Linked DNA regions of Mus musculus: regions 1, 2, 3, 4, 5 and 7 are each reported to be linked to region 6. The links are microRNA targets in miRTarBase. Many come from high-throughput screens and were not tested one by one. Region 6 holds a microRNA gene; each other region holds the end of a gene's coding sequence.
Evidence for each region. The annotated mature microRNA mmu-miR-129-1-3p reads AAGCCCUUACCCCAAAAAGUAU and lies in region 6 at 2,189-2,210, shown strand. An mRNA with a match to its seed (bases 2 to 7 or 8) in the 3' UTR can be bound and repressed. Matches are read on the target gene's strand: a 7mer-m8 pairs with bases 2 to 8, a 7mer-A1 pairs with bases 2 to 7 and ends in A, and an 8mer does both.

Region 1: miRTarBase lists Ccdc167 as a target of mmu-miR-129-1-3p. The part of its 3' UTR that is shown has no 7-base or 8-base seed match.
Region 2: the mRNA of F10 is a reported target of mmu-miR-129-1-3p. Seed matches in the 3' UTR shown: 7mer-A1 at 3,086-3,092.
Region 3: miRTarBase lists Ybey as a target of mmu-miR-129-1-3p. Seed matches in the 3' UTR shown: 7mer-A1 at 1,445-1,451.
Region 4: miRTarBase lists Veph1 as a target of mmu-miR-129-1-3p. Seed matches in the 3' UTR shown: 7mer-A1 at 1,151-1,157.
Region 5: the mRNA of Tmod1 is a reported target of mmu-miR-129-1-3p. Seed matches in the 3' UTR shown: 7mer-A1 at 2,494-2,500.
Region 7: miRTarBase lists Ndufaf7 as a target of mmu-miR-129-1-3p. Seed matches in the 3' UTR shown: 7mer-A1 at 3,459-3,465.

What each region holds. Positions count from the first base shown.
Region 1 is chr17:29,701,084-29,705,159 of GRCm38, forward strand. It overlaps Ccdc167 (coiled-coil domain containing 167), which reads right to left. Exons shown (of 4, transcript NM_026782.2): 4 at 2,249-3,386. The coding sequence ends at 3,283. Cmtr1 (cap methyltransferase 1) reads left to right here. Exons shown (of 24, transcript NM_028791.6): 23 at 402-510; 24 at 1,071-4,076. The coding sequence ends at 1,212. It overlaps Gm28043 (predicted gene, 28043), which reads left to right. Exons shown (of 28, transcript NR_132314.1): 27 at 402-510; 28 at 1,071-4,076. Among named protein-coding and RNA genes, the nearest start is that of Ccdc167, 14 kb to the right of the region's middle.
Region 2 is chr8:13,055,163-13,059,238 of GRCm38, reverse strand. F10 (coagulation factor X) reads right to left here. Exons shown (of 9, transcript NM_007972.4): 9 at 2,563-3,946. The coding sequence ends at 3,357. Among named protein-coding and RNA genes, the nearest start is that of Proz, 3.7 kb to the left of the region's middle.
Region 3 is chr10:76,459,559-76,463,634 of GRCm38, reverse strand. It overlaps Ybey (ybeY metallopeptidase), which reads left to right. Exons shown (of 5, transcript NM_172550.4): 5 at 316-4,068. The coding sequence ends at 402. 2610028H24Rik (RIKEN cDNA 2610028H24 gene) reads right to left here. Exons shown (of 8, transcript NM_029816.2): 8 at 2,417-3,148. Among named protein-coding and RNA genes, the nearest start is that of Mcm3ap, 7.3 kb to the left of the region's middle.
Region 4 is chr3:66,053,264-66,057,339 of GRCm38, reverse strand. Veph1 (ventricular zone expressed PH domain-containing 1) reads left to right here. Exons shown (of 14, transcript NM_145820.3): 14 at 1-3,782. The coding sequence ends at 235. Among named protein-coding and RNA genes, the nearest start is that of Ccnl1, 97 kb to the right of the region's middle.
Region 5 is chr4:46,113,673-46,117,748 of GRCm38, reverse strand. Tmod1 (tropomodulin 1) reads right to left here. Exons shown (of 10, transcript NM_021883.2): 10 at 1,717-3,435. The coding sequence ends at 3,371. It overlaps Tstd2 (thiosulfate sulfurtransferase (rhodanese)-like domain containing 2), which reads left to right. Exons shown (of 10, transcript NM_173033.3): 10 at 666-3,003. The coding sequence ends at 904. Among named protein-coding and RNA genes, the nearest start is that of Tstd2, 23 kb to the left of the region's middle.
Region 6 is chr6:29,020,479-29,024,478 of GRCm38, forward strand. It overlaps Mir129-1 (microRNA 129-1), which reads left to right and starts at 2,141; the gene lies at 2,141-2,213.
Region 7 is chr17:78,946,720-78,950,795 of GRCm38, reverse strand. Ndufaf7 (NADH:ubiquinone oxidoreductase complex assembly factor 7) reads right to left here. Exons shown (of 10, transcript NM_028611.3): 10 at 2,744-3,921. The coding sequence ends at 3,706. Prkd3 (protein kinase D3) reads left to right here. Exons shown (of 19, transcript NM_001171004.1): 19 at 1-1,391. Among named protein-coding and RNA genes, the nearest start is that of Ndufaf7, 12 kb to the right of the region's middle.

The DNA.
Region 1 (4,076 bases), not on the chromosome of region 6:
GTAGGTACTGAGGGACTGTCCCTGCCCCCTAGCCAGCAAGGGGGACTTGACTCAAGGCTTCCTTGTTGAGGTGGACAGCAGTCAGCTGGCAATTTCTGAGGTACCTGCTGGAAACACCCCCAATTTGGGCCTGTTCTGGCCTTTGGCTGGGAGCAGGGAGAGATGAAATTGTAGATGCCTATAAGGTATTCTCAGCGGGTAAGCATGGCCTCTCCACTGTGTACCCCTCCCTATAGGCTGGAGACGTCACCCTTGTAATGCTGAGGACCAGGCTAGGCCTTGGGGAGGTTATAATCTGCCATTTGGGTGTGGCTATTGGAAGCTGGAGGGACTAGGCAGGGGAAGGAAGGATGGGCACGCCCATGGGGACTGTCCTGAGTGCCTGCCCTTGTCTCCCTCAGAGCCATGGACCATGGGATTTAGCAAGAGCAATAACAGGAAGTTCTTCTACAATAAGAAAACCCAGAAGTCCGTCTATGCTCTCCCTACAGAATCCATTGCCCCCTTTCAGTAAGTAGCCCTCCGTTGGCTTGGAACCCATCATTGCCATGCAGAAAGAAGCTGCCCCAAGTGTGGACCTGATTCATCCAGATCCTGGGTAGAGAGCTGACTGGCTAGGTGGTGGAGGGGAACCTGCCAGAGAGTTTGGAGGAACATGTTGTAAGAAGCTTGCCCCTTATGACTCAGGGTCTCAGGTATTCCTCCTTAAGACGTGTTGGTCAGATTGCTGCTGGACATGAGCTTCTATCGCAGCCCCAATAGGGCCTCAAATTAGCCATGAGCACTTGTTTCTGTAGCTGGCTAATACTGACCTTAGTGGAACAGGTGAGCTAGGAACACCAATAGTCTAGCTGGATGCAGGTTGTGGCAGCAAAAGTTAGTTCTTAGAGGCATGGGAGGATCTGGGGCCTACTGGGTGGAACCTTTAGATGCCAGAGGGGCATCTCTCAACTTGAGTCATTGACAGAACCCAGTATAAAAGCACCTATCTGGGGACCTGCTAGTGGTTTCTTGGTCCTGCACCACCTAGATACAGCACTCTGATGGGTCCTTCCTCCACCCCTTTATAGTACCTGCTACTACAGCCGGCTCTTCTGGGAGTGGGGAGATGGCTTCCACATGCGTGACTCCCAGAAGCCCCAGGATCCAGACAAGCTGTCCAAGGAGGACGTCCTTTCCTTCATCCAGAGTCACAATCCTCTAGGCCCTTAGGGTTTCCACCTGATGAATGTCCTGTCATTCTTAAGGCAGGGCCCAGTGTCTGGTTTCTTCTGCCTCTTGGAAAGGAACTGGGACTGTTCTCCCTGGTCGTAAGGGAGATGGGCTCCTCCCCATTCCCAAGGAGCTCTTTCGGGGCCTTAGGACACAGCTGTGAAACTCTGCTGTCTGAGAACTGGAGTCAACCTGAAAAGCAGCTGCTCAAGGGCAGGTCAGCGCTTAGGACTTGTCAGAGTCATTCCCTCTGGAATTTGTCGACTCAGTGTTCTGAGTTCCATTTACTGCCCTCGAGAGCAATCAGGCCATTGTTTTGCCCCATTTCTACTAGGCCACCCAAATATGAAGGCCCTCCATCACATGCTGGCCAGGAGCAGCTGTCATACCAATCAAAGTTGTTTCTTGTGGTCTTTTCTTCACCCCAATCCTGGAGTTTGTCCTGGCAGGTCGGGAAGGAGTGTGGACCCAGTACCTTTCAAACATCAGCGCTTTGGGTACTGGGTATAATTGCTCCTTGAGTTTCCACCTCTGGTAAGCACTGGGCAGCTCCAGGGGAAGAGCAGCCTAAAAACCTGCCCTTTGACTTCCTGTCTCAGCAGTAACAGAAAGTTACTCTAGCAGTCCAGGCCACCTGAAGCTCTTGGCAGAGTTCTGAGCTAGCAGTGGCTCTAGCTGCTCCTTCCTCTCCACTAGGAGGTACATAGCGATCTGCTTTGATTTGTCTATAGTCAGTCACTCCATTTCCTGTCTCTGTAAGAGGGAGGAATGGCAACAGCTTTGGGTTGGGGAGGGCATCTGTGGTTGTTTCTAATGGGAAATCTCTTTCAAGAGATGTTCATGCAGGCTCCCTAGGGCCCCATGCCAGTGCCAGACTGGTTTCCATGGAGATAGGGCACTGAGGCACCTGTGAGGTTGGAATTGATTCCACCATGGGAGGTCCCTTCCACCAGCCCCCAACCCCAATCCTAGCAGCAAGTGCTGGGATGCCATATTTGCACCTAATTCTGGGTCTATCAGTGTGTCTTACAGAATCTTGGATCATTAAACATATTTTTACTGCTCATGTGGCTCTGTGCTGGGCTGCTGTTGTCCACAGTGCTGTGTAACTGAGGAAGGGGAGTGTTTGTGGAAGCCAAGCTTCTCCAGCTCCTGAGACTGCCATCTGCTAGACAGGGAGCCCAAAGGCTTATCAAAGTACAGTTCCGGTATAAAGCAGAACTTGGGGGTGAATGAGCTCACCACACAACTCACTGCATGGCATGGCAGCACTGTGGCAGTCCAGGATCAGTCTGTGTGACTAACATAGCAGAGGCTTCAGACCAATTACTGTCACTAGACGAGACAGGAGAAAGGATCTTCTGCTGACTCTGGCTAGCCGCCTCCACAAGAGGCCACATTCTGCATGAGCCCCAGGTGAGAATTCCTTCACCTGAACATCGCACATGTTGGTGAGCTGCCTCCAGCCGATTCTTCATGTTTCACAGCCTGGCTTTACTTGGCAGGCTCCTGAATGGAGCAGTGAGCATTCTTTCTCCCTTAGGGCCCTCTACTGTGAGTGGAGCTAGGGGAGAATCCTAGGGGCTGCTCCTGACTGACCACCTCCTCCTTCTCACCCCCACCCTACTCACTGGCTCTTGTCACCATGTCAGTCTGGTCATTGCCAGACTTGCTGGCCATGGGCACCTGCAGGCCTCCCTGGCCCTGCCTGTCTCTGGAAGAGGAGATGATTCCGCATACCCCTGGAACCTCCACTTCAAGCCCAGGCCACCTTTTCCCGTGCATGCTGCATTTTCTTCAGTGGTAATAATCACAGGCCAGGGCAGGCTGGAGCTGCGGGTGGCAGGCACAGAGCTTGCCCTCCCAGCTGCACATCTCCCTTCCTCCTGAATTGTACATAAGAATTTTGGAACATCCCTTCATCTTTGAAATAAGAGTGCCTCCCTTGCTCACCCTCACCTTGTCAGCAGGAAATAGTTGCCAGACAGCAGAGCCTGGGGCTCTTTATTGCCCCTCTACTAAGCAGAAGGAAGCACTACCACGTCCTTCTAGTGGCTGGAGATGGCTGACTCACATAGTCCAGTAAGCATAGAGCAGGGCGAAGACAGTGAAGATGGCCACCGAGAGGAGCGTGTTCTTCCGGTTCTCATGTCGAAGCAGCTTTAGCTCTTTCTCTGGGAGGAAAAAGATGGAAACGAAACAGAACACTGGGGCTCACCTAGCTGCTTCTGCTTCTCAGAATGGACATTCTGATGAAAAGAGGCGTCTCCTTCCAGGCACTGTCGCATCCCAAAACCCGGCCCTGTCTTTCATCTGCCCAGACCCTCATAATCCTAAGTTAGACTTAGACATAAGGGCAGGCCTGACTTGCTCAACCACTCCTCTGTGAGTACAGTACGGTATGTGTGAGGCTCTACCGTGCTCATCCTTCAGGACAGCTGGGCCTCCTCGGGCTCACACTGCTCCTGAATTCAGCTGCTCCATTGGGTACAGGTTCTACCTTGCAAAGGCTAAACTGATGTCCTGGCCACCACCTCTAGCTGTGCACTGGACTAAGAGGAGAACTGGCAGCCGGCTTTGGGCTGAGTAGAGGTGGGATGGGACACATCTGAAGAGCTCTCTGCAGACCACAGTTCTAGCCTCAGGGCAGAGGGTGCTGGGCTCTGCCTGGCTCTGCTTCCAGCACCCCAGAAGGTGGCAGCATCGCTCCACCCACAGAATGCCTTTCCTGCCCCGAGTAAGGACCATCCTCTACCACACCCAGTCTAGGTTGTTCTGGTGGGGTGGGACATGAGATGCAGAAACCAGTGTCTGTAGATGTGGGCCTTTTTCCTGAACATGGCCCAGATACCCCAAAGAATACA
Region 2 (4,076 bases), not on the chromosome of region 6:
TAAGTAAATTCTTTGGATGAAATTAAGGCCCAGGCAAGGGGAGCAAATCCCCAGAGCTGAGGAGGAGTGCTGGGCCTGCTCTTCCTCTGACCTCCTGCTCGCCCACTCTCTGGGCATGGGCTGATCCGAGGACTGATAGGCAGCATGTCCACTCTAGAATCAGCTTCCCCAAACCATCCAGGATATAAAACCCCTGAAGACATCTGAGGCTCTTGTTCCTCAGCCCCGAGAGGGGTGTGGCCTCTGTGGAAGCTACCCTCTAGGAGCAGTCTTTTCTCCGTCTGCCATTTGCTAGTAAGAGGCCAAATCTTTTAAGTTCAGACTCGATTTTAGAGAGCCTGACCTAAGCTGAACTCAGGTAAACTAACAGTCAGGTACCTAGCATTAGTTCCCAAGTTGCCCCTCCACAAAACCGGAGCCTAGCTCCAGTCTCTAGGCTAATCCCCAACAAGACCAGCATTTCCAGGTCACACCCTCAACAAGATCAGTGTCTCCAGGTTATTCCCCCAACAACCCTGCACCCCCAGGTTACAAGCCCACCCCCTGCCTAACAACCACCAATGCAGAGGGAAGCAGAAGTTAAGTTTATGATAGGACTCCCAGCAGCAGCCAATTATGTTAAAGTCCATAGTAACTTCCCAGTTAGATGCTTGCACACTCACCCCATCCCTGCTTGCTCCTTACCATAAAGCCTTGCCCCGATAGATATTCAGGGTTCCCCCACCACCCAAACCATCCTGCATTACGACAGTGCACTGGGGCAGTCCAAGCTAGCTTGAATAGAATAAAGACCCTGCTGTGAGTTGTATCAGATGGGCTCCTGTCTGGTTTTATTTGGGGGGGGGTTCAACCCCTCCCTGCCACTACACTAGGTCTTATTTCTGGAATCCAAAGTATTCTTAGGAGCAGAGCCAAGTGAGGACTGCTCTTTTCTGTTTCAGTTTAGAAGCCATCACCATCTGCCCTGGCAATCTGCACTCTTCATTGCTAACACACCCGGGGAGCCTGGGTCCCCATCAGCAGCACACTGAGGAGCCTGGTCACCAGAGCCTGTGCCCACATTGCCAGCACCACAGAGCTCCTGGGTCCCGACTGCCAGAGCCACAAGGGGAGATACCTCACTAAATCCAGGATTAACTTTCCCAGCCCTGACACTCAGTATCTGGGTGATGGATTTTCTGCTTGTTTTGAAATTATTGGTGATATTTTTTATCTTAATGTTTATTGTGGTAAAATATGTATAACATGAAAGTGTTCTTGAGTAAATTGACTTTGAAAATTACGTCTTCAAAAATAATGTATTTATTTTTTTTTAATTATATGTGAATTAGTGATTGTCCTGCATGTGCGTCTGAGTAGTTGGGTTCCCTGGAGCTGGTGTTAAAGACAGCTGTGCGCTGCCATGTGGGTGCTGGGAACCCAGGGCCTCCGGCAGAACAGTCAGTGCTCTTCACCGCTGAGCCATCCCTGTAGCCTGAAAACTCACATTTTAGTGTCTCCTCAGTTTCCCCCGTGGGCTGACCCCACACCCACACAGAGTATCGGGCTTGTCTTTCTATTGATTCAGGGACCTGTGTGGATGCTGACCTTGTCCTGGGGTTGTTGGAGCCCAGGGAGTTCTTGTTCTTAAGGACAAAGTCCATCCCCAGAGGCAGGTGAAACTGTGATCCTCCCACTGCTGACCTGCAGGCAGGGCCAGGGGACCACGCTACAGAGCAGGTGTTCTCCAGGGTCCACATCACTGTCCCCGCTGCAGCTGCTGAGGTCAGCTCTGCTCTCAGACCCTGGCCTCACTCTCAGCCATTATGGTTCTAGGAAATCAAGTGTTGTTTTTGTTTGACTTTTCCAAATGTTGCAAAATCTGTTTACAAAGGACTCTGTCCAGCTCTTGATTTGGGGGAAGTTTTGTACTGGAACCTTTACACTTTGCTTAGGAAAGTTATGTAAAGTTCAAGCTATAGGTACTTTTGGGAAAAAGTTACTCTATTTACTGAATGTAGGCTTGGTTTCCACATTTAATTTGGGGCTTGGAAGCAATAGAAGACTAGAGGGGAGAGACATGCCCTGAACCCTGTCCGGCCACATCATGCCACTCAACGAACACCTGCTGGGATGGCATGATAGTGTTATATAGGGTTAGGCTCACTCTCGGGACTTAGGATTGGATGTCTGGGATAAGGCCAGGACTTAGGTTTTGCAAAGACTGCTGAGCTCCTAATCAAAGCTGGGGCTAAGACCCACATACTGGTGGGGGTAGGATCTCTATTAGCAACTGGTGAGTTGATATTGTGATTTGATATTGTGTTCAGGAAGAAGGGCCTGTGTACATTCAACACCCTGGTTAGCTCAGGGGAATTCCATGCATACACCAGGCAGCCCATCTCGGAAGATTCTTGTGTGCTCTTACCACACAGCCCAGTCCAGGGAGATAGCATGCACACTCAGCATTCACTCCAACAGTCAGCTCAGCACAACGTCTATGCACACTCAGCAGACAGCATGGTGTGGGAAGACTGCTACACACTTACAGGCAGCCCAGCACAGGATTGTGCGTGGCTTGGATCCGGGTAAAAGGTTCCTTTATTTAGACAAAGACCTTAGCCTCTCTTCCCAGGAGTCTTTACTTTCAGTGGATGTCACGGAACCAGTAATTCCATGTTGCCTAGTTCCCAGAGGACAGTGAGGGTTCTCTGGCCAGGCTAAGGAGTAGCAGAGTCTAGGCCTCTCAACCTAAAACAGGGGCTGAAGTCCCTGTGTCTGTGTGTATGTGTGTGTGTGTGTGCACGCGCGCACACACACATACTGAAAATCAGAACCATATGCTATGTCTATGGGCTCCATCCAAGTGTGAGCAGACACCGAACCCCCTAGAGCCAGCGACTCCCTGAGTGTCTTCTAGTCTGGTTCAGGAAGAGAGACCTTTGCTCACTTGCAGCTTCTTTCTTTCTTTCTTTCTTCCTTCCTTCCTTCCTTCCTTCCTTCCTTTCTTTCTTTCTTTCTTTCTTTCTTTCTTTCTTTCTTTCGTTCATTTGTTTGTTCGTTCGTTTGTTCGTTCATTCATTTTTTGAGACAGGGTTTCTCTGTGTAGCCCTGGCTGTCCTGGAACTCACTCTGTAGACCAGTCTGGCCTCAAATTCAGAAATCTGCCTGTCTCTGCCTCCTGAGTGCTGAGATTAAAGGTGTGTGCCACCACTGCCCGGCTGCAGCCCGTTTCGTATACCATGAAGTCAAGGGAAATAAGACTGAGGGAAAAGACCCCACCACAGGTGGGGCAGCTGCCCCAAGAACATTCCTGTTTAAGGTGGCAACATTAAACAACACCAGATGTGACCCAGCAGGACTGGAGAAGGACTGCTTTAATTGGGCGGACCTGCTGTCCTTGGGGTCTCGGCTGTGGGTCCCACCCTGGCTTTCATGGACCTGTCAATCCACTTGAGGAAGGTCGTGACCTTTGTGTAGATGCCATATTTCCCTTTCCTTGCACACCCCTCTCCCCAGCTGACAATGCCGGTCACATAGTAGGTATTTTTGAACCGTGTGACATGGGGGCCACCACTGTCCCCCTGGCAGGCATCCTCTAACTTGGCCTCATAGCCCGCACAGAACATATTCTGTGTGATGCTGAAGCTGGTGGAGAGCTTGCAGGTGTTGCGATCCACGTAGGGTACCTCCAGCATCTTCAGGATGTTCGACTGGCGGCCCTTCTCATGCGTGCGTCCAAACCCGCTCACGATGCCCGTCTTCTGTGTCATCAGTGTGGACTCGGCCCAGTCTTTCTGAGGCAGGCAGGCAGGGGCCACGTTCATCCGGAACGTGATGGGAGTCTTCAGCCTCAGCACGGCGATATCATAGTCGTAGGTGTCCCTCTGAAACTTGTTGTGCTTAATGACCACGTCCACCTCGTGCACCATCTCGTTGCCTTCTTCCTTCTCTGTGTTCCGATCACCTGGGGCCAGAGAAAGAGAGAGAGGATAGGGCTGAGTTCCCAGAGGGCCACGTGTTTGTGATCTGCTGTGTTTAAAGAAGCACACCTTTAGTCCCATCACAGAAGGATTAGAGGCGGGTAGATCTATGAG
Region 3 (4,076 bases), not on the chromosome of region 6:
GTAGATCGCAGTCTGCTTCTGCTACCACCCAGCCCTGTCTATGCCCACTCCCTCCCTGCCCCACACTTCCCTGGGCCCCATGTGTACCCCAGCTTCTCCCCCTTCCTTTGGGAGCCCACTCCCTGCTGTCCTGTCCTTTGATCTTGCATCTACCTACAGCTCTCTGAGTCTCTGTTCAGGTGCTGCTGATAGACTTGTGCAGAGCCTGGGGGAGCGGCTAGGGGGGCTTCAGAAGGAGGTGAACCCTGGGAGGACTCGGACTCGGGACAAGGGTCCCCAGAGTCCCTCCAGAGCTTGTGCTCTGCTGTGTTCCAGATGTACAACCAGGAGAAGCTGGTGCTGGAGGAGCTGAGCCGCTACACGGGAGCTAGGCTCCAACCCCTGAGCAGGGGCCTCTACTGATGCCACAGAGCTTTGAGACAGAGAACTTGTTGGACAGAGTCCCGTCCCTCTGCAAGACTCCAGGGAGCCTCTGCTTACCAGGGAGCCCCTGAGTGGACCACGTGGAGCCGGAATAGATGCAAAAAGCAAGAGGAATTTTTGTTCCAGTGCACTGGGGTCTTCCCAGACCCGAAGGAGAGGCGGCGACCCCCAGCACCCATTCAGGGAGTTTTTATATGGTTTCCAGGGGCAGAAGAGAGCATCAGCAACTAGGCACAACGTGATTGGCGGAGCAGTGCACCCTTTAAACTGATTGGTCTTTAGGGAATGAAGTGACAAGGACGTCCCTTGTCTGAAGGTGTCCTGCAGGATGTGTCCCCACCCACAGGGCAGTTCTGCCCTAAGGTCTGAGAAATGTTAATTAGCCTCTTCCTTCTGGAGGGGCAAGTGTTTCATGACCTTCCCAAACTTCCTAAGCTGGCCTTTTTACCTCCACAGTGGATCTCTGCTGGTCCTGTTGCCCTGGAGGGCCTCAGCCCACACTACAGCTTCACTCTGTGAGTGGACCAAGTACCAAGGAAGTGCCTGTCAGCCCTTACTCTGATTAGAAATCTATGCGGACTCTGTTGTAAGCAGAATCAGGCGTTCTAAGAGAAGAAACATGGACGCTCTTGTGCTTCTTTGGGTTTCTAGCTGTAGAGTCTGGGCAGATTGCCTTGTCTCCCTGAAGTGGGAGGAACGTGCCAGAACACTGAAGCCTGTTCTCCTAGGAGGAGGCGCCTGCAGACCAGCAAGCCCAAAAGGACACCTTGTGCCCTCGCCTTTCTTAAGCTGTTGGCTGCAGACACCACGGGACAGCCCACAGACCTTGTCTCCTGGGGCCAGAGAGTCAGGAGTGTCCCCCATCTGTGTTGCTGTTTGTAATTGTTTTAGATGACCTTTATTTTATTTGGAGCAGGGCAGTGGTGGCACACGCCTTTAGTCCCAGCACTTGGGAGGCAGAGGCAGGCGGATTTCTGAGTTCGAGGCCAGCCTGGTCTACAAAGTGAGTTCCAGGACAGCCAGGGCTACACAGAGAAACCCTGTCTCGAAAAACCAAAAAAAAAAAGGATTTTATTTGGTGTGTGTCATGTGTGGGTACACATTTCCCACTGCGGGGGGTGGGGTGGTCAGCTGGGGGGAGATGTCTCTCTCGTTTATTATTTTGTCCCCAGAGATGGAACTCTGGTTGTCAGCCTTGCCATCCCACTGACATCCTGCAGGCCACCGTAGTCCTGCCACTGGGGCTCCCCTATTGGCTGTTAGAGGCATGGTAGTTCTGCTCAAGGCCTGGAACATGGAATTCTGGTGACCTGAAGTCTAGTTCAAAGCAACATGCAAATGTCTGTGCAAATCTGGATCACGAGAGTCTTCCCAGCAGGTAGCCAGGGACCTTGAACCTAGATAGGGTTTCCTGACCCCTCTGCTGGGTGTACCCGCATATACACCTATGCCAGCCTGTTCCCTTCTTCTCGGCCATCTAACTGGTTCCTCGCCTTTGAGCATCCTTAAGGAATGACTGCTTCTGTGCCCTTCATTTTTCTATTTCCCTTTTTCTCTGCTTGGTATTTCTGGTTTAATTTGGTGGGGTTTTTGGTTTTTTTGGTTTTTTGGGGGGTTTTTTTGTTTTTTTTTTTTGTTTTTGTTTTTGGTTTGGTTTGACCTTGCAGCTCTGGGCATGGAATCCAGGATCTTGTCAGGCTTGGCAAGGCTCTGCCACATTCCCAGCCTGTTGCTCAGCTGCCCTAAATCTGTGGGTTGGTCAGCAGCTGTCTCTGAGTCCAGCCACATTGTTATGATGACTCCAAGCCTGAGGGGGCACTATCTGCCCTGTTCCAGGAGGCACAGCATCCTCACTTGGGGCTTCCTCACTTTGTGTTTATTCCAGATTTCATTTCGTCCCTCACTTCCCTGAAGGGCCTGTGATGTTTTTTAATTTTTAAAAAAGATTTACTTGGGTATGGGGGACTTTTGGTATAGCATTGGAAATGTAAATGAGCTAAATACCTAATAAAAAAAAGATTTACTTATTTTATGTATATGAGTACACTGTAGATGGTTGTGAGCCATCGTGTGATTGCTGGGAATTGAACTTAGGATTTCTGCTCGTTCCGGCCCTGCTCGCTCCAGCCCAAAGATTTATTAATTATATGTAAGTACACTGTAGCTGTCTTCAGATAAACCAGAAGAGGGCGTCAGATCTCATTACAGATGGTTGTGAGCCACTGCGTGGTTTCTGGGATTTGAACTCGACCTTCAGAAGAGCAGTCAGTGCTCTTAACCGCTGAGCCATCTCTCCAGCTGGGGCCTGTGATCTTGATGAGAGTTTCATGGACTCTGTGGATTGGCCGCTCACACACTTGAGCCATCTTTAAAATCTCTGGGGCGTACTGTGCATCTTCTCAGAGTAAAGTTGTGCACAGTGGTGCAGTCCCTGTCACCACTGTTAAGGGGCATGGCCAGGAGAAGCTTTTCCCTGAGTCACTGGGGACCCCCTAAGCCCACTACAGGGCCTGCTCAGACTCTTTAGTCTCCCACAGGTGGTCCTCAGACAGCAGGCTTGAAAGGGACGGGGAAGACTGTGTGTGAGGGTGGGTCCATGTACACTCCCATAGCTTCCAGAGGCTGATGGTGCTCCCAGAGCCAGGATGCTCCCAGGCTACTTCCTCCTTGTTAGCCCAGCATTGCCAGGCCATCTGAGACAAAACATCTGCCAAATATCTTCCTTCTATCAGATCAATAATCATATGAGAGGAAAATCGTGTTAGAAACATCATCTAGGAAGGAAATTATGTGAGCTCTTTAACTGGTGCTTTTAACAAAACCAAGTTTCTCTGGAACCACACCCCAAGGCGCACTGAAAGACAGGTCTGTCTTTATGGATTCTTCTCTACCTGATGGGCTGGGGTGGAGATGGAGGAGAGAGAGCAACCATCCAACCCTCCCGGAGTGAACAGTGCTTTGTAAACAGCGTGTGTAAATACCCATACTTACACAGCCTGCAGTGCCCACGTGCATGCATGTGGACCTCACATGTACCTGGGCCTTGTTATGATTATAAAATGTTATAAGTATGAGTATCTTGCCTGTGTGTATTTATGTGTGCACTCCTGATGCCCTTGGAGGTCAGAAGAGGACATTGACTATCCTGGAACTGGAGTCACAGAGAGTTGTGGATTGCCATGTGGTGCTATTGAAAGAAAATAAAACTTGAGTCCTGTGATTCATGTAATAGCCCAAAGAGTTGTTTGTGAGCTTTGAAGCCTGGGACTGAGAACATAGCAGAACAGGCCAGGACATGCCTGGGCAGGCCCATCATTAAGACATTCCTGAGGCTGCTTGGCCATAAAGATAAAGAGAATGCAAAGACATGTCCAGACTGGCCTGGCGCCTCCCTATCTCCCACCCTTCTGACATGGGTTAAATGTTAACCAGATGCTCTGCTGTTACCTCCATCTGCACATACACTCTGCTGATGTTTAAATGAACCAATCGTGTGAAACCGCGCCAATTCCTCCCCCAGCCCCAGACCCTTTTCTATAAAAACCCCTAGCTTTCAAGCCTAGTGGTCGACAACCGCAATCTCCTGTGTGAGATACATGTCGGCCCGGAGCTCCGTCATTAAACTACCTCATGTGTTTGCATCAAGACAGTCT
Region 4 (4,076 bases), not on the chromosome of region 6:
GGATGACCCTGATGATTCCCCGATAGAACTCAGCAAGGTACAGAGCGTGAAAGCTGTGGCTAAGAAACGCCGGGACCGCTCTCTGCCTCGGGCGTTTGAAATCTTCACAGATAGTAAGACCTATGTTTTCAAAGCCAAGGATGAGAAGAACGCAGAGGAATGGCTGCAGTGCATCAACGTGGCGCTGGCCCAGGCAAAGGAGAGGGAAAGCCGAGAAGTAACCACATATCTGTAGCGATTCGCACACCCGCTCTTATGGCCATGCAAGATAAGCATTGCCAGTGTCAACAAAGAGGAACCCACCATGGCGCTATTGGGTTTCACTAAATACCAGGGAAACCATTATCCCTAAGGAGAGCCTAAAATGGCAGGGTTCTCAGTAAACCTCACGCCCTCGCAACTCTGGTATTAACTCCAAGTTTTCTGCCTGAAGTTCATGAGAAAGAGAGGCCACGGAGTTCACAGTGGATCGTGTGGGCCAGAAAGGGAACGCTGCGAATAAAAGAACTTCTGTAGCTATGTGATTTATGACTGTAAGAAAACAGTGAGTGGGGCCAGCAGGAAGGCTCAGCAGGTAAAGGGCACTTGCTGCCAAGCCAGATTGCCTGAGTTCTAGCCCCATAACTGACTTGGTGGAAGGAGAACTAACTCTTGGCGGTTTTCCTCTGTTTTCTGCATGCCATGGCACATCTATTTCCCCAGTTTAAAAAAGAAAAAGAAATTAATTAATTAATTAATTAAATTTTAAAACAACAGAGGCCTGAAAGATCCATCTTGAAGGAAAACTGTCACATTAAAGACATTTTTTAATATTTTTATTAGGTATTTTCCTCATTTACATTTCCAATGCTATCCCAAAAGTCCCCCATACCCTCCCCCCACTCCCCTACCCACCCACTCCCACTTTTTGGCCCTGGCATTCCCCTGTACTGGGGCATATACAGTTTGCATGACCAATGGGCCTCTCTTTCCAGTGATGGCCGACTAGGCCATCTTTTGATACATATGCAGCTAGAGACAAGAGCTTAAAAACCATTAGGAGCCAGGCAGTGGTGGCGCATGCCTTTAATCCCAGCACTTGGGAGACAGAGGCAGGTAGATTTCTAAATTCGAGGCCAGCCTGGTCTACAGAGTGAGTTCCAGAACAGCCAGGGCTATACAGAGAAACACTGTCTCAACCCCCATCCTTCAAAAAAAAAAAAAATTAGGAAAAGTTGAACTAAGGTACATTCAAGAAAACCATTAACTTCAGTATATTAGTTAGCTTTCTGTTCCGTGGCAAAATACCCTGATGAAAATAGCGTACAGGCGAAAGGATTTATTTTGTTTATGGTTCCAGAGGGATGGAGTCCATTGTGTCAGGGAATACATGGCACCAGGCAGAAAAAGCACAGCAGCAAGAACAAGATGCTGGCTGATTCTTATTTAGACCGAGGAAGCAGTGAAGGTGGGAAGTAGGGTGTGGTAATAAACCACAAGGCCCACCTCCATCGATGTACTTCCTCTACCAAGGCTCCGCCCCCCCAGGGGCTCCGTAACTTCCTGAAGCAGTCCTACAATGGGGCCACGCATTCAAATATGTGAGCATATGGAGGCATTAAAATTGTTCAATTATTTAAATTACCACACTTAAACATTTATCTTCTCAACACAGAAGATGGCAGCACATGTTACAATGACTCTTATTCCAGTTACATAATTAAATTTAGGCTCTTATTAGAGTGTAAATTGGATTTTAATGTTTAGACACGTGGTTCTATCTACTGTCTGAGGCAGTAAAAAAGAATAAGAATAGAAAGACACCTTTTCTTCTTTGTAAATATATGCATCACCTCCCTTAAAATTGAAGATTTTTTTAATTAAAATTCTGTGGTTTTCTTCTCTGTGTTAAGCGTTGTAGTGCCCAAATTATAAGCATTTATTGGTTTTTCCTATTACCCTTATATAATTTTGAATTAAGCTGCCATAGGCAGTTTAGGTGACATCCAGTGACCTGTGCCCCGTAATAATGTTCTGCCCCTTGAGTGGTGGAGGGTGGGACCTGAAGCGTGCTTCTAACTTACATAATATGGCAAAGGTGACAGAATTGTCTCTCCTACAATTGTGTTACATTACAACGGAAATTTTAAAATTAACAGATGAATTAAGGTCTCTCAGATGTCTTAAGTAAACTGATACATCCTGAATAGCCAGGTTATCAGCTAAGTTATTTACGTCAGCCTCTCCTAGTGAACTTGAATAAGCTGCCACGGAACTATCGCTGCAAGGCAAGGAGTGAGCCTGTGCCAACATCCACGTGACCCTGAACAACAGTGAGCCTCTCGGGATCCAGCCCACCATCACCTTGTTCGGAGCTATGAGGTCCTCTGCTCAGAGGGCCGGGATAAGATGGAGTCCTGCCCCCACAGAAACTATGCAGTAACAATGTATCCTGCTTTAAATGCAAACCATGTGGTGATTTGTTATGCACTGATTAATTCATATAAAACCCCGCTGGTAATATATCAAAGATAACTTTTTTCTGTAAAATTTATTTATTATGTATTTTAGCAGAGAAGCCCAGAAAAGTTGTCACCGCGCTGACACTACAGTTAACTCACTGGCATAGGAAATGTAAAAGGGGTCATACTTGAGCAAAGAAACTTAATTCAATTTTAACATGTAAAGTTTGAGGATATTATGAGCCACAGAAATTATTACACGCTGGAAATAGAGTTCAAGAGGTCAAATTTTGGGTCCACTGCATATGTAGGTAATTGTGAAAGAAATGGAATTGGCTGAATTACATAAGAAATGGAGAATTGAAAATGACCCCTTGGGATAACAATATTTAGACAAAGGCAGGTTAGATTAGCTGATCAGTATTCAGAGATGATGTAGCCCAGGAGACATGATATTACAAAAGCTAAATTAAGAAGGATTTTCAGGATGTCAGCAATTTGAAGTCCTGAAGATAGAACTTGACTTTCATAATTAGGAAGCAATTGATGTCACTAGTAAGAACAATTTCATTGGAACAATGCAGTAAAAGTTAACTTTCGATGTGCTGTAGTAATCGACTGCTGGATTTTAATTTTTTAAAAGGTGGGGTTAAGGTGAAAGAGCAGAATAGATGAATGGTTTCTTATTTTGTTTTTAGGTGACGTCACCATAAGAAAGAAGACAGTTTAATAAATATAGACAAGGAAAGACAAGGTCAAGTTTGCTAAGTGTGATAGAGAATAATTTTCAAGTTCTGTATCCAGGGGCCGGAGAAATGTTTCAATCATGAGAGAGCTTGCCTACACACATCAGCCCCTGATGTCAAATCAGCAACACATACATGAAAATCGCAGCATGGCTTTGGGGGCCTGTAACTCTCCCTGCACTGGGAGTTGGAGGCAAGTACATCCCAAGAGCTCCTTGGCCATCAGTCCAACTGAAGTCATGAACTTCTGACCAAGTGAGAAACTCCATATGGTAGTTTGGACAAGAAGGGCCCCCATAGGCTTACCTATTTGACCACTTGATCTCCAGTTGGTGGAACTATTCGGGAAAGATCCGAAGGCGTGGTCTTGTTGGAGAAGGTGTGTCACTGGTGGGTGGGCTTTGAGGGTTCAAAAGCCCATAGCGTTTCAAGTTAGCCACCCTACCACCTGCCTCTGCCACATGGTTATGCCTCATGATGCATGCTCTCAACTACAGCTCCAGGACCATGCCTGCCTACTGCCATGCTCTCTGCCATGATGGAAATATATTTATCCTCTGAAACTGTAAACCTCCAATAAACTCTTTCTTCTATAGCTGCCTTGGTTTTGGTATTCATTCACAGCAATAGAGAAGTAACGAAGACCCACCCGGTCTTGAGTCAAAAAGGCAGAGAGCCACAGAGGAAGAAACCTGATGTTTGCTTTAACCTCCACAGGCATAAGTAAGTACACACATACTCATATGCAATCACCATATACACAAATCACACACAGTCTCAGAAACATACACACACACATGCATGCAATCTGTATGAGCAGCAATTTACTGAGAACCTGCTAAGCAAACAGGGACCATACCTGGCCTGGAGACTCCAAAATAAAAAGACA
Region 5 (4,076 bases), not on the chromosome of region 6:
TGTTCTCAAAGGTGACCAGCATTGGCCAGGAGGAGTTGGGTGGTCAGGTGTCCTGGCAATGGCCTTCGATGGTGGCCTGGGGTGGGGCATTGTGCATTCTACAAGTTGGTTGTAATGTGGGGTCAACTGTCTTTTGGTATGTTCTCTTCCCTGGGAAGGGAGGTTATCTGGGGAGAGACTAGGGGGTGATACGCTGGTTTCAGAAGCCCTTTCTCAATGGAAGAAGAGCCATGGGTGGAGGAAGAGGAATCAGAACACAGTTCCCAGAAGCAGCCTCTCCACACCACACCCCTCGCCCCGCAAAGGCCTTCTTCATTCTTAGACGACAGGAATAGTGTTTTTCTTTTAATCTATCTGTTTGAGACAGGGTCTCACTGTACACATAGCCCAGGCTATCCTTGAATTTACAATCTTCCTGTCTCAGCCTAGCAAGTGTTTAGGTCATAGTGAATACTACTCTTCCTGACTTGGAAACATTCCCTTGGACCAAAAGAATATATTAGATTCTAGTGAACTAAGAGTTATTTTAGGAATTGGAATTTATCTATGCCTTCCCCCTATAACCCCCCGCCTGCCCCCCCTCTCTCTGTCTCTGTCTTCGTGGTGTGTGTGTGTGTGTGTACAGGCAAGGGAGAGAGAGAATAATAAAATCCTTTCTTCTCTAGAATGTTCATACTGCGGAGCCCCATGGGACCAATACAAACTCTGCTCTACTCCCCAATGCCGCCAGCTTGTGTTGACCTGTTCTGCCTGTCAAGGACAAGGATTCACAGCCTGTTGTGTCACGTGTCAAGACAAAGGGGGCAAGCAGGCTTCAGGCCCCTCCCAGGACAGTTTTAAAGAAGAATGTGAGTGTACTGCCCGGAGGCCACGAATCCCACAGGAACAGCAGGCACAGTCATGAGTTCAGTCCCTGTGAGCCTGGACCTGGGCCTGGTGTTCCGCATTCACTGACACATGCAGACTTAAGTTGCCATGTGCAGCTTGAGACGGTATAGAGACAAATGGAGAGCATCCATGTTGGTCACTGCCAGCACAGCAGATGGCCACAGGGACAAGGGACAGGGAGTCAGTGTCAGCTGCCTGATTTGCCATTTGATCCAGAGGATGCTACAGCCTGGAACAAAGGCAAACCCTGAGGAATCCCAACGATGTTGAGGGATTATCTTGAGCTTGGCGGCTTCTCTGCCATGCTGCAGGGTGGTAGGCATTGCTCTTCAGCAAACCTTTTTACCCTGACAGCAAAATTATAAAAGTTGGGCCCTGGGTGTAGACTCTTAAACCAGGCCAGCTCTTCCCTAACTGCCTGAGGCTCTGTGGCTCTGATCACCTTGTGCCTTGAAGCATTTACTAAATTTGCAAACCCATTTTTCTATATGTGATCATGGCACTACTGAGTAGTTGGCCAGAGACCATGCGGCTTCAGAATCTAAAGTATATTCTGTCCCTTCACAGAGGTCCTCTGAAAGAGGTGGCCCATGCTTTTGTTGATGTGGTTTCTTTAAAGATGTTCCTCTAGCAGCTTTGCATTACCCAGCATCCCTCTCTCAGCTTGCAAGTGTTCTCAGGGATCTAGACGAGCAGCAGGCTTAGGTCAGCATCTGCCACACAGACACTTGGTCGGTGAGCTCACTCAGCATGGTAGCTGCCTAGCCTCCTGGCCTTTGGGCACATATTCTTATCCCACGATTCTTAAGAAGCACACAGAGCCACACATAGACCAAATGGCTTTAATATTATTTTGCAGTTTCCAGTGATGCAGAATGCAGCTGCAGTTGTGTTTCAAGGAGAAGCTGAGTGGGGCTGGCTGTCCCTGCAGCTTGGTGCCACTCCTGGGCCCGTGTGCAGCCTCAGTGGACACTCAGTGCTGAGGCCCCGATGCCACCTCTAGTTACCCTGTACTGTCCATACTGTTACAGTTCGGTGTGCAGGCTTTCTCTTAAGTCAGAAGCCCCCTGGCTATGCTCAACAGCTTTTGAGCCTTATCATTACTATAATATTGGCTGAATCCCTAAGGAAAATAACTCCCCAAAACAACAAAAATACTAGTTTAACTGGCACTGTGGTCTATTAAAAGGCACAAGAACAGTGTATTTGAACATTTTTACTGGCTCCCATGGTGTTAAAAAAGGAAATCCAGTAGGAACACCAAGATTAGGTTTCAGAGTAATCCCGTGTGTTGTTTGGCCAGGATCTCCTAATTCCTTACCATTAAGATGCTGTACTCTGCTGTCCTCTAGAGGCTTTGTTTGTAGGCAAGAGCTCTGTGTGATTTGATTTGTCTCATAAATGACCAGGCAGGCACTTGGTGTCTGTAAGCAGGGCCATGCTAAATACCACAGGCATGGTGGACTGGAAATTCACCCAATGGTGTTGATCTCACATAAGCCATTGCCCACTGTGGTATAGGAAGATGTTTTTATGTGGCTGTAAGTTTTCTTTTTTTTTCCTTTTTTTTTTTTTTTTGGTTTTTCGAGACAGGGTTTCTCTGTATAGCCCTGGCTGTCCTGGAACTCACTCTGTAGACCAGGCTGGCCTCGAACTCAGAAATCCGCCTGCCTCTGCCTCCCAAGTGCTGGGATTAAAGGCGTGTGCCACCACTGCCCAGCGGCTGTAAGTTTTCATCCATCATGAAGTTGGAATTCAATAAAGAAGAAATGATTTCTGACTGCAGATGAGTACCCCGCAGGTGTTCCCACAGCACTCAGAAGGATGTCTGTTGCCTGGTGTGGTGGGTTTTGAAACTTGAAAATTCACCATTGCCTTTTTCTCCCTCTTTATCTTACCTGGCAAAAGGAATCCTGTGTCTTTCTGACTCTTAGAAAATTCTGTGGCTTGTCTTTCATTCTTAGGGGTGGGGGTTTGATCCTGGAATCAATTTGGCAGCTTTAATCTTGATGTCAAAGTTTCAAGTGGGGGTTGACAGATCATGATTATGTGTTCTTTTTACTGAGTTGCTACGATCAAATTGGAAATAAAAGATTGTTTCACCACGCTTCCAAACTAGGTGGGAAGAGTGCTCTGTGCTGGTGCGTCCCATGTTGTAAGTGCACCTAGGCCCCAAAGCAGGGCCGCCAGGGGGCTCCTGGGCCGTCTCTGCCAGTGTCACACTGTCTGCAGCAAGGCCCGCTAGCTTGAGGGCTTCTGCATGTTTAAATAATTACCAGACTGAACTTCTGTGCCTAAAGAAAAACTTCACATTAGCCATGTTTTATAAAAGGTCCGACTACAGTCTAGTTAACCTAAACCTCAGTGCACAAAGAACTGAGCCACAAGAGCTCCACGCCAGCATTCGTCCTGGGCTCCACTGGGGCACACGCATCATCGGTAGAACACGTCCAGTTCCTAGGCGTGGGCTTCCCTTCGCATGCTAGACACCGCTGCGGCACTTGGGGATAATAGGCCCCGTCAGGTCTGCGAGCCTCCTCTTCCTCACTACAAAGAAATGAGAAAGAGATGTGATCCAGCTGTCCCTTGTCAGTCACAAATGACACTGGCTTCACAAGGTCAGAGTCTGCTTTTCAAAGACAGTTATAAGAAGGCTGTATGGTTTGTCCTTGGTTACTAATGAGTCTGTGGTAAGGTGTACATAGTCTCCTCACATCTCTTCTAAATGTCTGACCACACAGTCCCTCTCCCCCATTCGCCTTTGCCAGTTCCTACAGGAGCTCCACAATTGAAGACTGGATCCGAGCAAAGTTAACTTTAGCTAGTCTTAAGACTGGAGTCTTCGCCAGCTAAAAATGTTTCCCCTTGCTCCTTCTGGGAATGCCTGGCCTGCCTCCTGCTTATGTTAATAACTGAAAATTGCCTGCACTTGTCATGCCCCCTCATATTTTAACAGTGACATTTTCTCAGGAGCAAGACAATTCATGCTCAGATGCTGTACATATGACAGTGAAGCCTGTAGACAGGGAAATATGAGCCAGAGCCAGGAGATTGCAGACAGGAGATGAAAGCTTAGTGAATGGCTAGGATGACCCCTTTGGTACAATGAGAGGGAGCCTTGTATTGTCTGATGAAGACTAAGAAGTAGGCTATATTCACTGCAAGAGAACACAAGGTCAGGGAAGGCC
Region 6 (4,000 bases):
GGTGCAGAGGGTCAAATCCCAGCACCTCATGCATATTAAAAAAGCCCTCCTTCCAGCTGCCTTCCTCGCTTTGACCTTCGTCGTTAAAGGGTTGCACTGGCTACCTTGTGGAAACAGACCTTGTGAGGAGGTTAGAGGTTATGCTTTGAAGAAGTGGTGAGAAACGGCTAGAACAGAGGTTCCCAACCTTCCTGAAGCTGAGACCCTTTAATATAGTCAGCTCCTCATGTTGTGGTGACTCCCAGCCACAATTATCTCATTGCTACTTCATAACTGTAATCTTGCTACTGTTATGAATTGTAATGTAAATCAATATCTGGTACTCAGAATTATCTGGTATGTGATTCCCCCCCCCCCCAAAAAAAGAAAGTGGAGTAGTGACCTACAGGCTGAGACCCACTGATGGAGGTTCTGAAGAGCCAGCAATGTGCTAGTGAATGAGGCAGGAGCTCTGGCAGGACCCTGAGAGATTTTTCCCTTGAGCTGGGTTTTTCATTTCCTTGCGTAGGAGCAAGGACAACTCCACAGGGGAAGCCTGCAGTGCTATGCAGGCTTGTAGCAAACACTGGGCAGATGACCATGTGAAATAAAGAATCTGCAGAAGCCTTGGACGGGTGTGGGAAAGGGTGTGGTCAGTGCCAAAGAGAGAGTGTCCTCAGGGGCAAGGTTCATGTGAGAGAGGTAGGGGCTGCCACACTCAGCTTCCCATGGGAGACCTTCCCAGCCTGCCTGGTGGCCTTAATTCCAAGCCCGTATGACTCAGAGCAAAGCCATCGGGAGAATGTGCATCCCTTCTCGATCCCTGTCTCCTCCATCTTGTTTCTTTTGGCACAAGCTGCAGCCAGGTAAGGGAGTCAGGATCCAGAGATTTCCCCAGGTACTGTGCTCTGATGGACCATACAAAGCTGGAAGCAACGGGAGCCAGGGGTCTTCTGCAGCTGTGCTCCAGCCTGTGCAAGCTAGCAAGCCCACAGTGAGATGCCTGTGGCTCTGGAACCCCCTCCACTTTGGAGCACTCTCCCAAAGTGAATGTCCAGAAGGGGAAGCCCACCTGCTGGGCAGGGTGGGAGAAGATTCCCCGCCTTTTCCTCCTGAGAGTGAATGCAGGCCCCCAACAGGGAGGCAGCGTAGACATCTCTCTTACAAAGATGCTCTCCAAGTCTCACAGCCTGTGTGTCCTCAGGTCCTTCTCTGCAGTTTGCCCTGGAGCCAAGTTCTCTCATCCTATGACCGTTCTGTTCTCTTCCCTGTGCAGGTGCTGAGCTGGGCCAGCGGGTATCTCCAGGCAGCCTCTGCTAATGAGCTCTTAGCAGGTAAACAGCTCTTCCTTGACCCCCTTCAGGATATGCAAGAGACAGGACCGACCTGAGCTGGCACGTGGCTGAGAAGCAGAAATCATCCAGTCTACAGCCTCTTAATGTTCTCCCAGCTGGGACCTCTCTGCTCTCTGTGGCCGGGGCCTCAGGACCTCCTGGAAGAGTGGGACAGACCCAGGTTTGGGGAGCAGGGCTGCTAGGAAGCCTTCTACCTGTATTCTGGAAGAACTTAGGAAGAAGGGTCACTGTAGTTGTTTAAGACCATAGAGGTTGGGGGCAGGCCAAATGGGGCTGGCCTGGAGCCTCTACCTTTCTTCATCATACCATAGTATCTGCTGATGCTGAACAGAATCCATGCCTTCAGCCCAGAGCTGTCCAGTGACAGCCTCTTGGGGGGTGGGGTGGGGCTCTTGGTGAGTCCCCAGGAGGAGTTGGGGTTGTTAATGCAGTGGAATCCAGGACATAGGAGATGCCTGGGTTGACTGACTCCCAGTCATAGCAGGAAACTGTAAAATCCTCCTCACAGGACAGGGGAGGAGACAGATTCCAGCTGCCCCCGCATGCCAGAGCACCAACCGCTCTGTTCCTTACAAGCCTGCCAGGTGAGAATGCGATTGACACGGGGTGGGTAGAAGCGGGTGCAACTGGGGCTCCTGTCACCTGGCTGCCTGAATTTATCCTAAGGCTCCCCCTCTCTCCCCTTCCCTCTCCCACCCTCCTGCTCTCCAGGTCCCAGCTCTGCTTCCCTGACCCCATCTGCAGTCGCAAGCAAGCCCCAGCCCTGGAGGGGCTGCACCCTGCAACCTTCCCACAGCTGTCTCCTTTGGATCTTTTTGCGGTCTGGGCTTGCTGTTCTCTCGACAGTAGTCAGGAAGCCCTTACCCCAAAAAGTATCTACGGGAGGCTTGGTCTACAGGGGAGACCCCCAAGGGCTCCAGGTGAGTCACACCAAACTCAAGACTACCATGTGGATCCAGGGCGTCTTTGCCATACCTTAGTATTGCTGGGTGACCATGGATCAAGCCCTAAGCCTTAAGTTGGCAATCTTCCTAATGCTGTGACCCTTTAATACAGTTCCTGATCTTGTGGTGATCCCAGCCATAATATTGTTTTGATGCTACTTTGTAATTGTAATTTTCTACCAATATGAATTATAATGTAAATATCTGATATCAGGATATATATGACCCCCAAGTGAGTCGTGGCCCACAGATTGAGAACCACTGTCCTAAGACATTCTGTGCCCCAGTGACCTCATACCTTTCCTGATAGACAATGTTTAGTAGGAGTGGCTTTAGTCAAAGCCAGCGAAGGCCACTTGGGTAGATGTTGCTGGCTATCATGGGCACACCTCTCAGGGCTGTCACTCAATATGCCTAGCCCTCCTTCCTGGCATTGGGTAGACATGAGATCCAAGACAGGCCTGGCTATTGGAATCCTGGGCAGAGGGACCTGTGACTGGGAACACCACAGTTGATCCCAGCAGCCGAGTGAAGATGGTAAGCCTCTGCGGCAGGATGAGGTGTCTGCCTGCCGTCCCTTAGCCTGAGTCAGTCACCATGACCCCCTTTCTCCTGTGAGTCACTACTAGTCCTTCAAATAAAATCCTTGACTGCTCAAGTTAACTGAACGGATATCATTACTAACCTCTGATTCACCGCCATCTAGAGGGAGGAGGGGGGATTGCACACGCTAGAGAAAGGGGGCCGACTTGGGGGAAATCTGCGGTCAGTCATCCTTAGAGGAGGCGTTGAGGAGAGTCCATACACAAGGCGTGAGGTAAAATCCAGGGGAACTTTCTGAAGCTCCGTGTTGCAATAAAGAGCAGAGGACTGACATAGGAACATTTAAAGACCCCGCGTCCTCAGTTTCCAAAGGTGGTAAGGACAGGTGATGACAATTGCCGGTGGTGGCTCCTGCCAGTGTAAGGGAGTTGGGTACAACTCTGCAGCTGTGGTGAGGCACGTCAGGTATGGCCACATGGGCATCCATCTCATTCACCTGTGCCCCCACCCTACTTCTGTGCTTCCTGGTTCTATGCCGTTCCTTATCTGGATCTCTCTGCTCTTTTTACGCCCAGGTGCGGGATGGGTGGGCAACCCTGGACAAAGAATGGGGTGTCAATCTCATTGCTAACAAAGTCACAGATCTTGAGAAACAAAAGCCCCCAGAAGGTTACCTCCCTGTGCAGAACCACAGGAGGCAATTCTAAGGGGATATGTACGCTGGTGTGTGAGTCTCGCCGAGTTCAAGGGTGGCAAGGGAGCCTACGTGGGGCTGCTGGAGTGTGCTGTGGCAGTTCAGGAAGGAGAGCTGAGTTCACAGGTCAGAAGGGAGAACTGCAGGTGTGGGGGGTGAACGCCACCACCTGGAGACAGGAAGACATCGGCGGAGAAGGCACGACATGGACAGGCCACATTACAAGGCTGACTCATGACCACAGGAGCTCAGGGTCCCGATGCTCTCTGACTTCTCAATTCTGGCCCCAACAAAGCAGGTTTGCTAGGCCACGGTCCCCAGCATGCGGGTTGGAACGGGATGCGTAGCTCAAGGGCGGCATCGTGCGGTCATCTTGGGGAACTTCACCCTACATCCTCTATTGAGTGAGGGTATTGCTGTCTGACTCTGGAGGACAGCAGTCTTTCCTTGCCGGTTAGGGATTTCTGTGCCAAGCAGTCCCTCCC
Region 7 (4,076 bases), not on the chromosome of region 6:
GCTCTACACCAGGAAGGTTTCACTGCCAGATACTGAAATGTTTGCACACTCTACTAGTTGAGCATCCCTGACCTACAAATCCGAAATCCTCCAAATTCAAGAAACTTTGGAGTCCTTCAGATTTCCACATTAGTGATATTCCCACCTGTGCTTTACCCAAAGAGAAAAAGATCCAGGACCATCCTCTCACAAGAAATATAGTAGCTGTTTGTTTCTTCATTCCTCACTAGTCACAAAAAAAAAAAAACAAAACAAAAACAAAACAGGTTTTTCTTGTTGTTTTTCCTTTTCTGTGCTGAGAGCAAGAATTTGGAATGAGAAAGCCTGGGTTTAAGCCTAAGTGTCTTTACTCTGTGGATCTGTGGGGCTGAGCAGATAACATTGTCTGAGCATTTGTTTGACTTAGTTTCTCAGTCTGTAGAGTAGACACCATAAATTCTTCCTTCTGCCTTCCTCCATGTGGCTGTGAAGATTGGGCTATGTGACCACTTGTGACAATCTGGAATGCCAGGGTTGTCGCTTACCACGGGCTCTGAGATAGCAAAGGAAAAACTGTGTGTGTGAGCAGACCAAAACTAAGTGCCATCCCAGATGAGAATGCAGCTGCAGTGATCTGTCTAAAATTAAAAATGTTCTTGAGGTGACAGAAACAGCAGGGGTGCCCGGTTGTAAATGTTTATGCTTTGAACTGTCCTCACAATAGTCACATGACTAAGCACACTTAAAGTTGAGGCACAGGGTTAGTTGTCAAAGTGCATTGAGTTTAAATATGGATTTAAACCCAGGCCTATATCCCCAATCCCTTTACCCGTCCCAGCCATTGACAATGTACTGTACATCTGTAAGAATTTCCAGAAGACTTTCCAAACTGTCTCTGTAATTGTTTTCATACAGTAGTTGTGAAGAGTAATTTTAAGAAACTTCTAAGAATGGATTTTTCCATTTCTGCTAAGTCTGCTTGACCAGTATGTACAAGGTGGAACTCGTGTGTGTCACTAGGCAGCCCACGGTGGTTTTACCATGGGAGGTGAGAACTAACTGAAATGACTGCTGGTTTGCTGTACTTCTGTAATCAGACTTTACAAGCCATGACATTAATTGCACTCTGTTTTTGTCAAAGCCCTGTGCTGTTTAAAGAGAGACTGTAAAGGCGCTGTCACGGTGCGGAGTTGAGTAACCACTCCACTGTTTAACCTGCATAACTTTTTGTCATTGTCTTAAAGCCAAGCTGTGTTTGCATATATGAAAGTAATTGTTTCTTAGAAACATGTGACAATTTTCAAAGTAGTGTATAATGACACTGTTTAGTACATTTTATATTTTTTGTTACATCCCACTTTTTGTAAATATTCTCAAAACTTGATAATAAAATGTATTTCTCTATCACCATACTTTCCTATGTGAAAACCTTAGACCATCTCTAGTATAAGGATCTCAAGAGAGTTGTATTTGGTTATAATATTTTCCCCGGGCCTGAGTAACAGGAGTTTTTTTGTAAATATAGCCAATGCTACATGAGCACATATATATTTATATATCCTCTGTGAAAGACAACCCTTTAAAGTCATTTCAGGTGTATACTGCATTTGAGATAATTATCTAGAGGGTTCATTTATTGGAATACAATACAAAGAATAATGATAATTAAATATTTGAGCGACTATCCTAGGTATTACTAAAAGACTTAGAAAAATCAAAGGTCTCATGAAAAATCAAATTTCTAGAATTTGAGACTAGAAAGCACTACTAGACTCTTCCCTCTTAATTATAAAAAGTGAAACCAATTCTGTATGTGGGAGGAGCCAACTGTCAGTATTTACTTCTTTCAAATGTTCTAGCCTGGTCCTTGTGGGGGGGAGAGGGACATGAAACGGTGGCTTTAGAGATAGAAAAGAAGAACAGAGCGATGAGGAATGGTCTAAGGCTGGGAGCATAAGCCTGGGGAATGGGCTCAGAAGATAAAGTCCCTGCTGCATAAACAGAAGAGCTCCGGCTGGAGAGATGGCTCAGCGGTTAAGAGCACTGACTGCTCTTCCGAAGGTTCAATTCCCAGCAACCACATGGTGGCTCACAACCATCCATAACGAGATCTGGTGCCCTCTTCCGGAGTGTCTGAAGACAGCTACAGTGTACTTACATATAATAAATAAATCTTAAAAACAAAGACAGAAACAAAAAACAAACCAGAAGAGCTTCAGATTGGCTCCCCAGCGCCCATGGGGTTACATGCCTGTAACCCAGTGTGACATTGCTACAGAAGGGGCAGGGATGCAATCTTTGGTCAAATTAAGGAACTTTGAGTTCAGAGATGCTGTCTCAAAAACAAAGTTGGACAGCAATGGAGAAAAAAAAAATACCCGCTATAAACCTTCACGTGTAAATGCAATGCCCTAAATTTAGTCACAGGGTACGTATAAAAACTGTAGGTGCTGTGGCTGAAGTGTGCATACAGCATAGCACACCAATTAAATATGGCGTCATTCCTTCTTTTCTTACAGACCAAGACACAGAATGTTAATGCCATTCTCAGCTAAGCAGAAGCAGCAACAGAGAAATAAGTGATGGGGGCTGGAGAGATGGCTCAGTGGTTAACAGCACCGACTGCTCTTCCAGAGGTCCTGAGTTCAAATCCCATGGCTAATCCCATGTCCACCTAAGCCCCTCATAGGACTTGCTGCTGCTAACCACGTCCCCAGATGCCCATTCACCGCATTAATAGGAAAGTTCTACAGACAACTTAATTCACAGCTAAAATTGTGTATTTATCTGAGAATGAGCTCAGCTTAGGAAGTTGCTCCTCCTGGAGAGTTAACATTACTCTTAATTTTTATTTCAGTAAAAGTCAGATTTGGTACAGGTTTTTCTAACTATGACTTTTATTTCTTACGTCTTTAATATTTGTGTTACCACTCTTTACGTTCATCCATAGAGGCATTGGAATCCTTCCGAATCCTGCTTCCAGAGTGGAGAGCTGCCGACTCCTTCCCAGTTACTCCTCCTTCACTTGTGCACAGAACAGGAAACTAAGTCTATACTGACGTACTCAGTTAATTCTTTCCTTTAGCAAAAACAGGATCTTAACTCTAGAAACGCACATCTGACTTCTTCCATTTACTAACCCTAAGAGAGCCTTCTACCAGAATACACTGACTGCTTTTGCCCTTTAAAAATACCCAGATCTGTTGACTTGAAATAGCCATTTACCTTATCTCCAGTTTCTAACAAACCAATCAGTGCTCATATGTGTTTTTAAAAATCAAATAGAAATACAGTAAGTTGATAAGGAGACAATTTCACAATAAATCACTTTACTGGGTTGAAAACAATTATACCAAGAGTTAGTTATAACCTTTGACATTCTACCATTTTGATTGTATTTATATAAACAGGCTATTTTTTGTTTGTTTTTGGTTTTTTTGGTTTTTTTGTTTGTTTTTTCGAGACAGGGTTTCTCTGTATAGCCCTGGCTGTCCTGGAACTCACTCTGTAGACCAGGCTGGCCTCGAACTCAGAAATCCGCCTGCCTCTGCCTCCCGAGTGCTAGGATTAAAGGCATGCGCCACCACTGCCCAGCATAAACAGGCTATTTTTATTGACTGAAAAGAGATACTAGTTTGAAAACTTATGTTACTTCAATATGCAAAGTGAATTTTGTTTATTTTGATTTTTAAGGCCCACTGAGGAATAAAAGTTCAAGCTGAAGTATCACTGCCAAACAAGTTCATCAAACCCAGCTACAGAGGAGGAGGGGGTTTTTGACTGGCAGGCATTCCTTTCTTGACTCCCCCCATGAAGTCTCTGATGAGGTAGCAAGGCAAAGAAGTGAAATCTTTCTCCCATCTTCTGAGGATTCATTAACATATCATACCCTCCAAGTAGCTGCTGCTTCGCAGATGGCTCACCTGCTTTATCCAAGAGAACCTGAGCGGAAAGAAAGGCCTTTAAGGAACATCACCAGAAGAAAAGCATTCCCCAGCACAGGACTAATGATGTAAATGATGCAGTACAGCAATTCCCCAGATGGGATCACAGTGTCCTCTAACTGTAGGATGCTGTGATCCAAATGTATACATCTG